Macaca fascicularis: one gene and its partners. The protein of the gene in region 2 interacts with the protein of the main gene of each other region in a pairwise test. Links are inferred from orthologs where the notes say so. Each region holds a gene or a part of one and is shown on either strand. Other genes may lie near its edges.

Region 1 (3,650 bases), on a different chromosome or scaffold from region 2:
TCTTACTCTGTTTTTTTCTTAAGAAGTCACCCTCACTCATAAATCAGTGAGGAGGGCGGGATGCCTCAGTGACTTCTTGACTCCTGTATTAACTTAACTTAAAAGTGTATTAAACAAAGTATAAAATGAAATGTTGGTTAATTATCTCCCACAATATATAAAAAAGGCCAAATGGTAACTGCTACCCCCATTCTACCCCCGTATCCCCAATATAACAGATACCTGATTCGATCACTCGTCCCACTGTAACCCCAGCGGCTTTCTACTTGCTGGAATCTATTGATGCAGCATTCCTTTCCTCTGAGGCAGCACCTTGGTCGGTCAATGTATTCAACTCGGGGTTTAGGGTTGACAGTAAAATGAAGAAAGAGGTTTACCACTTCACGATCTGACAAAATTCCAGATTGAGCAGGACCTGTGGAAATAAAAACATAAACCTAAAAAAAGCAATTTGATTTCAATTCCTAACTTTGGAATACTCCACTTAAAGTAAATTCAAATCTAGAGGATGTAACATAAAAATAGGGAAAAAAAATCTTAGCATATATAATCTTTGCATATATTTTAAAGTTTCGATAAATCCATTTGAGGTTAAACACATTAATTAAAATGTTAAAAGCATTAATTAGTCAAAATTTAGATTCAGGAATAAATGCTGTTCCTTATGGATGCCAGGAATCCTCCTTTCTCACCTTATATAAAAATCAACTCGAGATGAATCAAAGACTTAAATCTAAGAAACCATAAAAATTCTAGAAGACAGCATCTAGAAAACTCTTCAAGACATTGGCTTAGGTAAATAATTCATGACTAAGAACCCAAAAGCAAATGCAACAAAAACAAAAATAAATGAATGGAACCTAATTAAACTAAAAAGCTTTTGCACAGCGGAAGAAATAATCAGCAGAGCAAACACACGACCCACAGAGTGGGAGAAAATATTTGCAAACTATGCATCCAACAAAGGACTAATATCCAGAATCTACAACTCAAACAAGTCAGCAAGAAAAAAAACCCAAATAATCCCAGGACAAAGTGTGCAAAGGACAGGAAGAGACAATTCTCAAAAGAACATATACAAGTGGCCAACAAACATATGAAAAAATGCTCATGTTCATCACTAATTATCGTGGAAAGGCAAATTAAAACCGCAATAAGGTATCACCTCACTCCTGCAAGAATGGCCATAATTAGAAAAAAAAAAAAAGATGCTGGCATGGATGTGGTGAAAAAGTAACTCTTTTACACTGTTGGTGGTAATGTAAACTACTACAATCACTAAGGAAAACAGTATGGAGATTCCTTAAAGAACTAAAAAGGGCCAGGCGTGGTGGGTCATGCGTGTAATCCCAGTACTTTAGGAGGCTGAGGTGGGCAGATCACAAGGTCAGGAGTTTGAAACCAGCCTGACCAACATGGTGAAACCCCATCTCTAAAAAAATATACAAAAATTAGCTGGGTGCAGTGATGGGCGCCTGTAGTCCCAGCTACTCGGGAGGCTGAGGCAGGAGAATCGCTTGAACCTGGAGGCGGAAGCTGCAGTGAGCTACGATCGCACCACTGCACTCCAGCCTGGGCAACAGAGCAAGACTCTGTCTCAAAAAAAAAGAACTAAAATTAGAACTACCATTTGATCCAGCAGTTCCACTACCGGATATCTACCCAAAGGAAAGTAAGTCATTACATGAAAAAGATTCTTGCACATACATGTTTACAGCAGCACTACTGGCAACTGCAAAAATATGGAGCCAAGCTAAATGCCCATCAACCAATGACTGGATGAAGAAAATGTGGTATATATACACCACAGAATACTACTCAGTCATAAAACAGAACGAAACAAAGGCCTTTACAGCAACTTGGATGAACTTGGAGACCATTATTCTAAGTGAAGTAACTCAGGAATGGAAAACCAAATATCATATGGTCTTACTTATAAGTGGGAGCTAAGACGCTATGAGGAGGCAAAGGCCTAAGAATGATATAATGAACTTTGAGGACCTGGGCGAAATGGTGGAAGGCAGGTGAGCGATAAAAGCCTACATGTTGGGTACCATTCCCCAACATGGTGAAACCCCGTCTCTACTAACAATACAAAATTTAGCCGAGCATGGTGGTGGGTGCCTGTAATCCTAGCTACTCGGGAGGCTGAGGCAGGAGAATCACTTGAACCTGGCAGGTGGAGGTTGCACTGAGATGAAATTGTGCCACTGCACTCTAGGCTGGGTGATGACAGAGTCTTACTCTGTGTCTCCAAAAAAAAAAAAAAAAAAAAAAAAAAGGAATAGAATAGCATTCAAATGAAAGATGGAGCTTTCTACCCAGAAAAATATCCTTCACAAACGAAGGCAAGCTGGGCTCAGCAGTGTGCCCCTCTAGTCTCAGCTACTCAGGAAGCTAGGGTGGGAGGATTGTTTGAGGCCAGAATTTTGAGGCTGTGAATAGCCACTGCACTCCAGCCAGGGCAACATAGCAGGGCCTCATCTCTTTAAAAAAAAAAAAAAAAAAAAAAAAGTAAGATAAAGCTGTTTTTAGACAAAAGAAAAAAAAGAGTTGAGAGAATCTGGTTAGTATCCTGCCTGTTCTAAAAGAAATACTGAAGGGAATTTTTCAAGCTAACAGAAACGTTTCCAGATAGAAGCACACATCTGGTCATACAGAAAAAAATGAAGATAACTGAAAGGGCAAATATATAGGCAAATCAAAATGATTATTGACTTTAAAAATAATGTTTTGTGGGCTTTGTAACATATGAAAAATTAAAATACACAAAATAGTAGCACCAAAGGCTACAGAAGGTTAAATATAGCAAAAGTATCAATAATGCCTTTATTATAGTGTGGAAAATTTTAATTAAAATTTTTTAATTTAATTAATTTATTTATTTAGAGACAGGGTCTCACTGTCGCCCAGGTGTGGAGAGCAGTGGTGTGATCATGGCTAACTGCAGCCTTGAACTCCTGGGCTCAAGTGATCCCCAGCTCAGTCCCCCAGGTAGCTGGGACTACAGGTGTGTGCCACCACTCCAGGCAAATTTTTAAATTTTTTTTTGTAAAGACAGGGTTTCCCCATTTTGCCGAGGCTGGCCTTGAACTCGACTCAAACAATCTACCCGCCTCAGCCTCCCAAAGTGCTGGAACTAAAGGCATGAGCCACTGTTCCCCACCTAAAAATTTTAATTTTTAAGATTTAATTTAAAAATCAGTAAGAATATATTCTTGTAATAACAAGGGCAACCCACTAAAATAATAATAAAAGACTCTTTAATAAGGGAGGCTGAGGTGGGAGGATCACCTGAGCCCAGGAGGTTGACGCTGGAATGAGCTGAAATCATGCCACTGCATTCCAGCCTGGGTGACAGAGGAGACACTGTCTACAAAAAAAAAGAAAGAAAGTTTAATAGACTATTAATCATATTAAGTATAAAGTGAATCAAATATTCCATATAAAAGGCAAAGTCTTTCAGACTGAATTTTTAAAAAATGAAGCTTACAAGAGACATGGTCAAAATAACGTAAGGCTAAAAGTAAAAGGATGAGAAAGACATAGAATTTTTAAAACCTTGAGAAACTATACCAATATCAGACAAAGACTTTAAAACAAGAAGTTTAGGCCGGGCGTGGTGGCTCATGCCAGAACTTTGGGAGGCT
Region 2 (3,650 bases):
CTATAATTTATGCTACAGATACCATCTGGCTTTCTTGAAGAGATGTACCCGTCCACAGTGAATGAATATACATCCATAGACCACTTGAGTCCTTGGATCATATGATTGGCAGGCAAAGAACTCTATAGATGGCCCATCCTAGCAGCTCACATTTGCTGCCACTCTGTTAAATGCTGGTCATCTGGAATTGTTTATTCTCCTCATGTTATCATTCCAAGCCAGAAATAAAAGCATGAATATTCAGGTGCTGTTTACCTAATTCAGGAAGACCCCTCCCAGGAGTATGAGGAGGTCTTTTGTTGCTCTCACTCTGGAACCACTGTTTGGGCAGCCCAGGCTGCCTGCCAGACGAGCCCTCCAAGCCCAGGATTCCTCTCCTGTGTGCCCACAAAGCAAACACACGCCCCTTTTTGCCAAGTGAATCAATGGAGTCTTTGATGCTTTGAGAGAATTTGACATAGCCTGCCAATTTAGCATTCACAGAAATGGTTAAAAGATTGTGGTTTGCTACATTTCTATCCTAAAAAGAATCTGGCTAGTGGTGTCTGTGACGCTTTTGTATATAGAATCAGTCCCCTCAGTTTGGCTTTGGACAACATAGATATTGGAAGTAAGCCATTCATAGTAAAACATATTTAGTGATTCTCTCACAATGGTGGCCTCTGTTTCCAGTCTTGGGCTGTGTGTATTTAACAAACAATTCTGGGCTCAGTGAGCAGCCCAGTGTGTGTCAGACATGTTATTTACTCTGTGGAGGTTGTGTTAACCTCACAGATCAGCTAGATGGTCATAGATATGGGGTTCTTCTGTCCTCAGAGCAGCGTGAGCTCACTGACAGGGGCTCTAGCTCCATGTTGTTACCCACTGCTGTCTCTAAGCAGGAATCTAAGAACTTTCTCACCAGTGGTGCTTCAAGGATTCTAACAAGCAAGAAAGGCTGAAACTGCCCTTGTCTCTTCCCTTATAGATATGGATTCCACGAGATTTCACTTGGGAAAAAAAGCTCCACAGCTGAAAGTGTTTTCACATCCATTGAGTGACAACTAAGGTCCTTCCCACCTCAGACCTCTCTCCTTTTTATTTTATTTATTTATTTATTGAGACGGAGTCTCGCTCTGTCACCCAGGCTGGAGTGTAGTGGCGTGATCTTGGCTCACTGTAAGCTCCACCTCCCAGGTTCATGCCATTCTCCTGCCTCAGCCTCCCGAGTAGCTGGGACTACAGGCGCCCACCACCACACCTGGCTAATTTTTTGTATTTTTAGTAGAGATGGGGTTTCACCATGTTAGCCAGGATGGTCTAAATCTCCTGACCTTGTGGTCCACCCACCTCAGCCTCCCAAAGTGCTAGGATTACAGGCATAAGCCACCGCGCCCGGCAACCTCTCTCCTTTTAAAAACAGAATGCCAAAGCTAGGCCCTGCCATGTCCTGGTTTGGGACAGACTGGCTGAGCTGTTTGGCTTCCTGGGTATCTTTTAATTGCCAGTTTGTAGCCCCTTGAGTACTCTCTTCAGTGCATCCATTTTCCTTGAGAAGCTGTCGCCGCCTTCCCAGAGTACTGGTGGGATCTGAGGAATGAGCTGGGGTTGCCCAGTAGATGCAAGTATCCTGGCTCAGCTTCCTAAAGAGTAGCTCCTACAGTGTTCTTGGAATGAAAGCTAAAAACTGGCACAGGATCTAGTTGATAAACAGCTGTCATTTGTAGCCGTTCTCCCAGATGTCTGACAGCAGAGTGTTCTCTGATGGAAAGATCAGCACCCAGATTCCCAGCCCCAGCGGGTTCCTTTCCCTGAGCCCCTAGGTTACTATGCTGTAGAACCCTTGTTTCTTGCAGGATCACTGAAGAACAAATAGTTGAATTCAGTAGTCCCTGTGCATCTTCTCCCTGCCTTCATGAAGCCACCCTTGGTGTTTTTATCTGACAAACCACTGACAGAGACAGCTTGGTCCAGATAACATCTAGGTTTCACCTTGTCTTGAGGGAGCCATTTTTCCTCTACAGCTCATAACCTTACCACTATTATTTCCCCTAGATTGATGCCAAGAAGGAACAGCTAGCAGATGCCCGGAGAGACCTGAAAAGTGCTAAGGCTGATGCCAAGGTCATGAAGGATGCAAAGACCAAGAAGTACGTACCTGGTATTGTAAAAGTTGGGGCGGGTGGGGAAAAGTGTGTGCAGCATCTGTCAGAGGTCCTGGGGCCCTGGCTTTTCTATGGTTTCTGAGGGATGTCTTTTGGAAATCTCTGTACTAGGGCTTTTATTGACTCAAAGTGGCAGCATGGGTACAGTGTGCTCTTGTTTAGAGCCCAGGCCTGGTTCTTGAGGACTGTGCTATTCTTCTAGGGTAGTAGAGTCAAAGAAGAAGGCTGTGCAGAGACTGGAGGAACAGTTGATGAAGCTGGAAGTTCAAGCCACAGACCGAGAGGAAAATAAACAAATTGCCTTGGGAACCTCCAAACTCAATTATCTGGACCCTAGGATCACAGTGGCTTGGTAAGTGTTGAACCTTCCTTGAGCTCCTGCTGCTAGCTTGAGAAAGGTGGAGGGCACTGGTGGCCTTCACATGCCATTCCTAAGCTGCACACTTCTAGTCCTATGGGGAAACTTCTGGCTTCAGCTGTGTACAAGTTACTTTGGTTGCTGAACCTTGTCTGTAGATGCATTGCAACATTCTGGTTGCTCCTAAATGGTCAGTGCTGTCATACTGCCTTGTAGTGTATGTTATGTTTTTAAGAGGCAGGTTCCATCCCTATTCCTTATGGAACTTTAGGACAGGAATGGAAACTCTTAGCTTCTGGCAAAATAGGAAAGAGCCCATTCAACTCTACCCTTCAACAAAACTTTTCGTTGAAATTTTTTGCAGTTGAAGGTAGGAACAAGAGATAAAGATGAGAATAGAGATCTGAGCAACTTACACAGAGAGGCAGAGGGGTCTTTAACAAAGGCAGATAAATATTAGGTTTCTCTCTGTGTGTCACACACACTGTCACATAACATCTGAAATAAGTGGCTTTGTTTTGGAAGATGTTTAGTTTGAGCTGTTAAGTTCTGAGCATAGGTGGAGATATCCTCCCCTATGGCACTTGCTAGTCCGGGCTAAAGGTTCCACCTAACTCTTTTGTACCTCTTTCTGCTCGTTTTGCCTTGTTTGGTGCTAGAGGTTTGGTTAGCTCTTAAAAGGCAATATAGTATAGGGTTAAGAACATGGAGAAAAACTGCTTGGGTTCAAATTTCAGGTCACTTACCACCTAGCTGTTTGAGAAAATCAGTAAATTACCTAACGTCTCTGCCTCAGTTTCTTCATCTGTACCTTTTTTACTTGTACATCTGCAGAAGCACCTACTTTAGAGATCACTGCCAAGATTAAATGAGTTGATCACATAAAACCTTTAGAACATGCTTGGTGCACTATTAATTTGCATCCTCACTAGACAGACGTGAAAGAGAAGATGGAACATCTGACCCTGAGCTTCAGATATGGGCCATTGCTGAGTCACCCTAATCCCCCTTATTTCTCCTTTATTTGCAGGTGCAAGAAGTGGGGCGTCCCAATTGAGAAGATTTACAACAAAACCCAGCGGGAAAAGTTTGCCTGGGCCATTGACATGGCTGATGAAGACTACGAGTTTTAGCCAGTCTCAAGAGGC
Region 3 (3,650 bases), on a different chromosome or scaffold from region 2:
GGGGCAGAACCCACAGCGTCCTCACAGCCACCGCTTTCCCAGCTGGGGCTGCCCCTGGTGCCTCCTAACGCTCCTCCCATGCTCCTGCTGTTCCCTGGGCCTTGATGCCCTTCCCCACCGGCGTGGTGGCTCAGATGACCCCACAAGGCTTCCCTGGGCCTTGTGTTCCGAATAGGACCACGCTCCTCTCTCTTCCCTCACTCAGTGGGGGCTGTTCGGCCACTTGGTCCTTGTCTGTCTCCCTCAGGCCAGGCCCTGTGCCTGTAGCTGACTCCCTGGGAAAGTGTGTGCCCATGAGGGAATGCGTGAGCGGGAAAGTGATAGAGAGTAGATGAATGTGTGAATCAGTGAGTGAATAATGAGGCTGAATAAGTGGATGAGTGCATGTGGGAATGAATGAATGTGTGTGTCAATGGGTGAATGAGCGAATAAATTCACGTGTTGGATGAATGAGTGAGCGAATGAGTGCGATGAATGAGAAAGTGAATGAATGAGAAAGTGAATGAATGAATGCGGGTCATAAATGAGCGTGTGAATGCACGCCCATGGGAATGAATCAGTGGGTCAATGAATGCATGTGTGGATGAATGAGTGAGTGTATGTGTATGAGTGAGTGAATGTACATGGAAATGAATGAGTTAATGAATGAACATGTGAATGAATGAGCGAGTGAATGAACGCATCTGTGAATGAATGCATGCATGCATGTGGGAATGCGTGAATGCGTGCCTGACGCCTGGAAGGAAAGAGGATGGTGAGGGCTGGCAGAGTGTGAGGCCCTGTGTGGTCCAGGGCATGGTCCCAGCCCTGTCTGTCCTTGCCGTGGGTCCATCTGCATCACCCTCCTGCTGTCCCAGGCCCCTTCCAGAAGCCTCTGCCATCAGGGGGCCTGGCACATGCCTGCTGGGGGCTGGTGGGGACCCCTGGTGGGGTGGTCATCCAAGATACCGGGCAGGCCCTCCCCACCATGGGGTGGCGGCCATGGGGTTAACCAGGGCCTCCTCTCTCCCGTGCCAGGTTCGTGCTGGCTGTGGGCAGCGCCGTCTTTGATGCCATGTTCAACGGGGGAATGGCCACAACGTCCACAGAGATCGAGCTGCCCGACGTGGAACCCGCTGCCTTCCTTGCACTGCTCAAGTAACGCTTCTGGATGCTTCCTGCTGGGGAGCCGGGTGCGGGGAGGGGGACCTCAGAGAACGCAGACCCTGTCTGACACCACCTCAGAGGCCCTGGCTTGGTGGAGATTTCTAGAACTGTGTTCCTGTGCAGTGAGGGGTTCCAGAGGCACCTTTTTTTTTCTTTTTTTTTTTTTTTTGAGATGGAATCTCGCTCTGTTGCCCAGGCTGGAGTGCAGTGGTGTGATCTCAGCTCACTGCGACCTCCGCCTTCCTGGTTCAAGTGATTCTCCTGCCTCAGCCTCCTAAGTACCTAGGATTACAGGCGTTCACCACCACACCCAGCTCATTTTTATGTTTTCAGTAGAGACAGCGTTTCTCTATGTTGGCCAGGCTGGTCTCAAACTCCTGGCCTCAGGTGATCCACCTGAGAAAAAAATTTTTTTTTTTTTTATTTGGAGTAGCACTCTGCCACCATGGCTGGAGTGCAGTGGCTTGATCCTGGCTTACTGCAACCTCTGCCTCCTGGGTTCAAGCGATTCTCTTGCCTCAGCCTCCTGAGTAGCTGGGATTACAGGTGCCCGCCACCACGCCCAGCTAATTTTTGTATTTTTAGTAGAGACGGGGTTTCACCATTTTGGCCAGGCTGGTCTGGAACTTCTTGACCTCAGATGATCTGCCTGTCTCAGCCTCCCAAAGTGCGGGGATTACAGGCGCGAGCCACCAGGCCCGGCCTTTGCTTCTATTTTTGATCGGCCCAACTTCTGATCTGTATTCAGTGTGGGCCACTGGCTGGCATCGTGTTCAGCGTGGTGTGGGCCCCTCGCTGGCATACAGTAATGTTGTCCATGATTATCCATGAGCCTAACTAGTGTGTGGGGTTCTGTGATCACCCAGAAATGGTCGAGGTTTTCGGTGGGGCCTGAGGTGGGGAACCAAGAGTTCCTCATGGAAAAGGCACCCAAGGAGGAGACACCCAGCTCCCAGTGCCCTCTCCTGGGGCATCCCGGGAAGAACGAGACAGGCCGTGTAGACGCTTCCGGGTGTGTGCTGTGTGGATGGGTTCAGCCTCTTGTTTTCATGGGTGACTGCCTTGCCAAGTCATGTCCCTAGGTCAGAGGGCAACAGACAAGGGCTAATTCTGGAAGGTTCCTCGGGGAGCCTGATGTGGGGCGTTTGGGCCCTGCAGGCTCAAGGGCAGGCGGCCAGGTCTGAGTGGTCCTCTGACGCTGTTCCCTGGGGGCGGGCATGGCGGTCCCATCTCATGGCTACCCGCGTTGCCTCTGCAGGTTTCTCTACTCGGACGAGGTGCAGATCGGCCCGGAGACGGTGATGACCACGCTATACACCGCCAAGAAGTACGCGGTGCCAGCGCTGGAGGCCCACTGCGTGGAGTTCCTGAAGAAGAACCTGCGAGCCGACAACGCCTTCATGCTGCTCACGCAGGTGGGCGGGGCCGGCACGGGGCGGGGCCGGCACGGGGCGGGGCCGGCACGGGGCGGGGCCGGCACGGGGCGGGGCCGGCACGGGGCGGGGCCGGCACGGGGCGGGGCCGGCACGGGGCGGGGCCGGCACGGGGCGGGGCCGGCACGGGGCGGGGGCGGGGCCAGGCCTGGCTGGAGGCGGGACGGGGTGGGGGCGGGCACGGGCTGGAGGCGGGACCGGGGTGGGCCCTGGAGGCAGCAGGATCCTGCCTGGTAGTAAAATGTGTTTTGTGCCGTGCGCTGTGGCTCACGCCTGTAATCCCCGCACATTGGGAGGCTGAGGCGGGCGGATTACCTGAGGTCAGGCGTTCCAGACCAGCCTCGCCAACATGGCGAAATCTCGTCACTACTAAAAATACAAAAATGAGCCTGGAGTGGTGGCGGACACCTGTAATCCCAACTAGTCTGGAGGCTGAGGCAGGAGAATCGCTTGAACCTGGGAGGCGGAGGTTGTAGTGAGCCGAGATTGCGCCACTGCACTCCAGTCTGGCAACAAAGCGAGACTCTACCTGAAAAAAAAAATGTGCCTTGGACTTTTCTGTGATAGTTTAAAAAGTTATTGGCAGGGTGCGGTGGCTCATGCCTGTAACCCCAGCACTTTGGGAGGCCGAGGAGGGAGGATTGCTTGAGGCCGGGAGTTCTAGACCAGCCTAGGCAACATAGGGAGACCCCATTTCTACAAAAAACAGAAAAAAGATACAGGCTGGGCATAATGGTTCATGCCTGTAATCCCAGCACTTTGGGAGGCTGAGACAGGCAGATCACCAGAGGTGAAGAGTTTGAGACCAGCCTGGCCAACATGGTAAAACCCCATCTCTACTAAAAAAAAAAAAAAAAAAAATTGGCCCGGCGCGGTGGCTCAAGCCTGTAATCCCAGCACTTTGGGAGGCCGAGACGGGTGGATCACGAGGTCAGGAGATCGAGACCATCCTGGCTAACATGGTGAAACCCTGTCTCTACTCAAAATACAAAAAACTAGCTGGGCGTGGTGGCGGGCGCCTGTAGTCCCAGCTACTCGGAGGCTGAGGCAGGAGAATGGCGTGAACCCGGG

What was found.
Region 1: the proteins of TOP1 (region 2) and BTBD1 interact in a two-hybrid assay, tested with the Homo sapiens proteins (2 studies listed by BioGRID). The link is inferred for Macaca fascicularis from reciprocal best matches to the Homo sapiens genes TOP1 and BTBD1.
Region 3: the proteins of TOP1 (region 2) and BTBD2 interact in a two-hybrid assay, tested with the Homo sapiens proteins (2 studies listed by BioGRID). The link is inferred for Macaca fascicularis from reciprocal best matches to the Homo sapiens genes TOP1 and BTBD2.

What each region holds. Positions count from the first base shown.
Region 1 is NC_088381.1:68,115,889-68,119,538, reverse strand, and holds part of BTBD1 (BTB/POZ domain-containing protein 1), read right to left. Parts: intron 416-3,650; coding exon 223-415; intron 1-222.
Region 2 is NC_088384.1:97,227,878-97,231,527, forward strand, and holds part of TOP1 (DNA topoisomerase 1), read left to right. Parts: intron 1-2,034; coding exon 2,035-2,129; intron 2,130-2,346; coding exon 2,347-2,496; intron 2,497-3,532; coding exon 3,533-3,635; 3' UTR 3,636-3,650. UniProt on the Homo sapiens protein: Releases the supercoiling and torsional tension of DNA introduced during the DNA replication and transcription by transiently cleaving and rejoining one strand of the DNA duplex.
Region 3 is NC_088393.1:2,623,203-2,626,852, reverse strand, and holds part of BTBD2 (BTB/POZ domain-containing protein 2), read left to right. Parts: intron 1-1,017; coding exon 1,018-1,137; intron 1,138-2,404; coding exon 2,405-2,561; intron 2,562-3,650.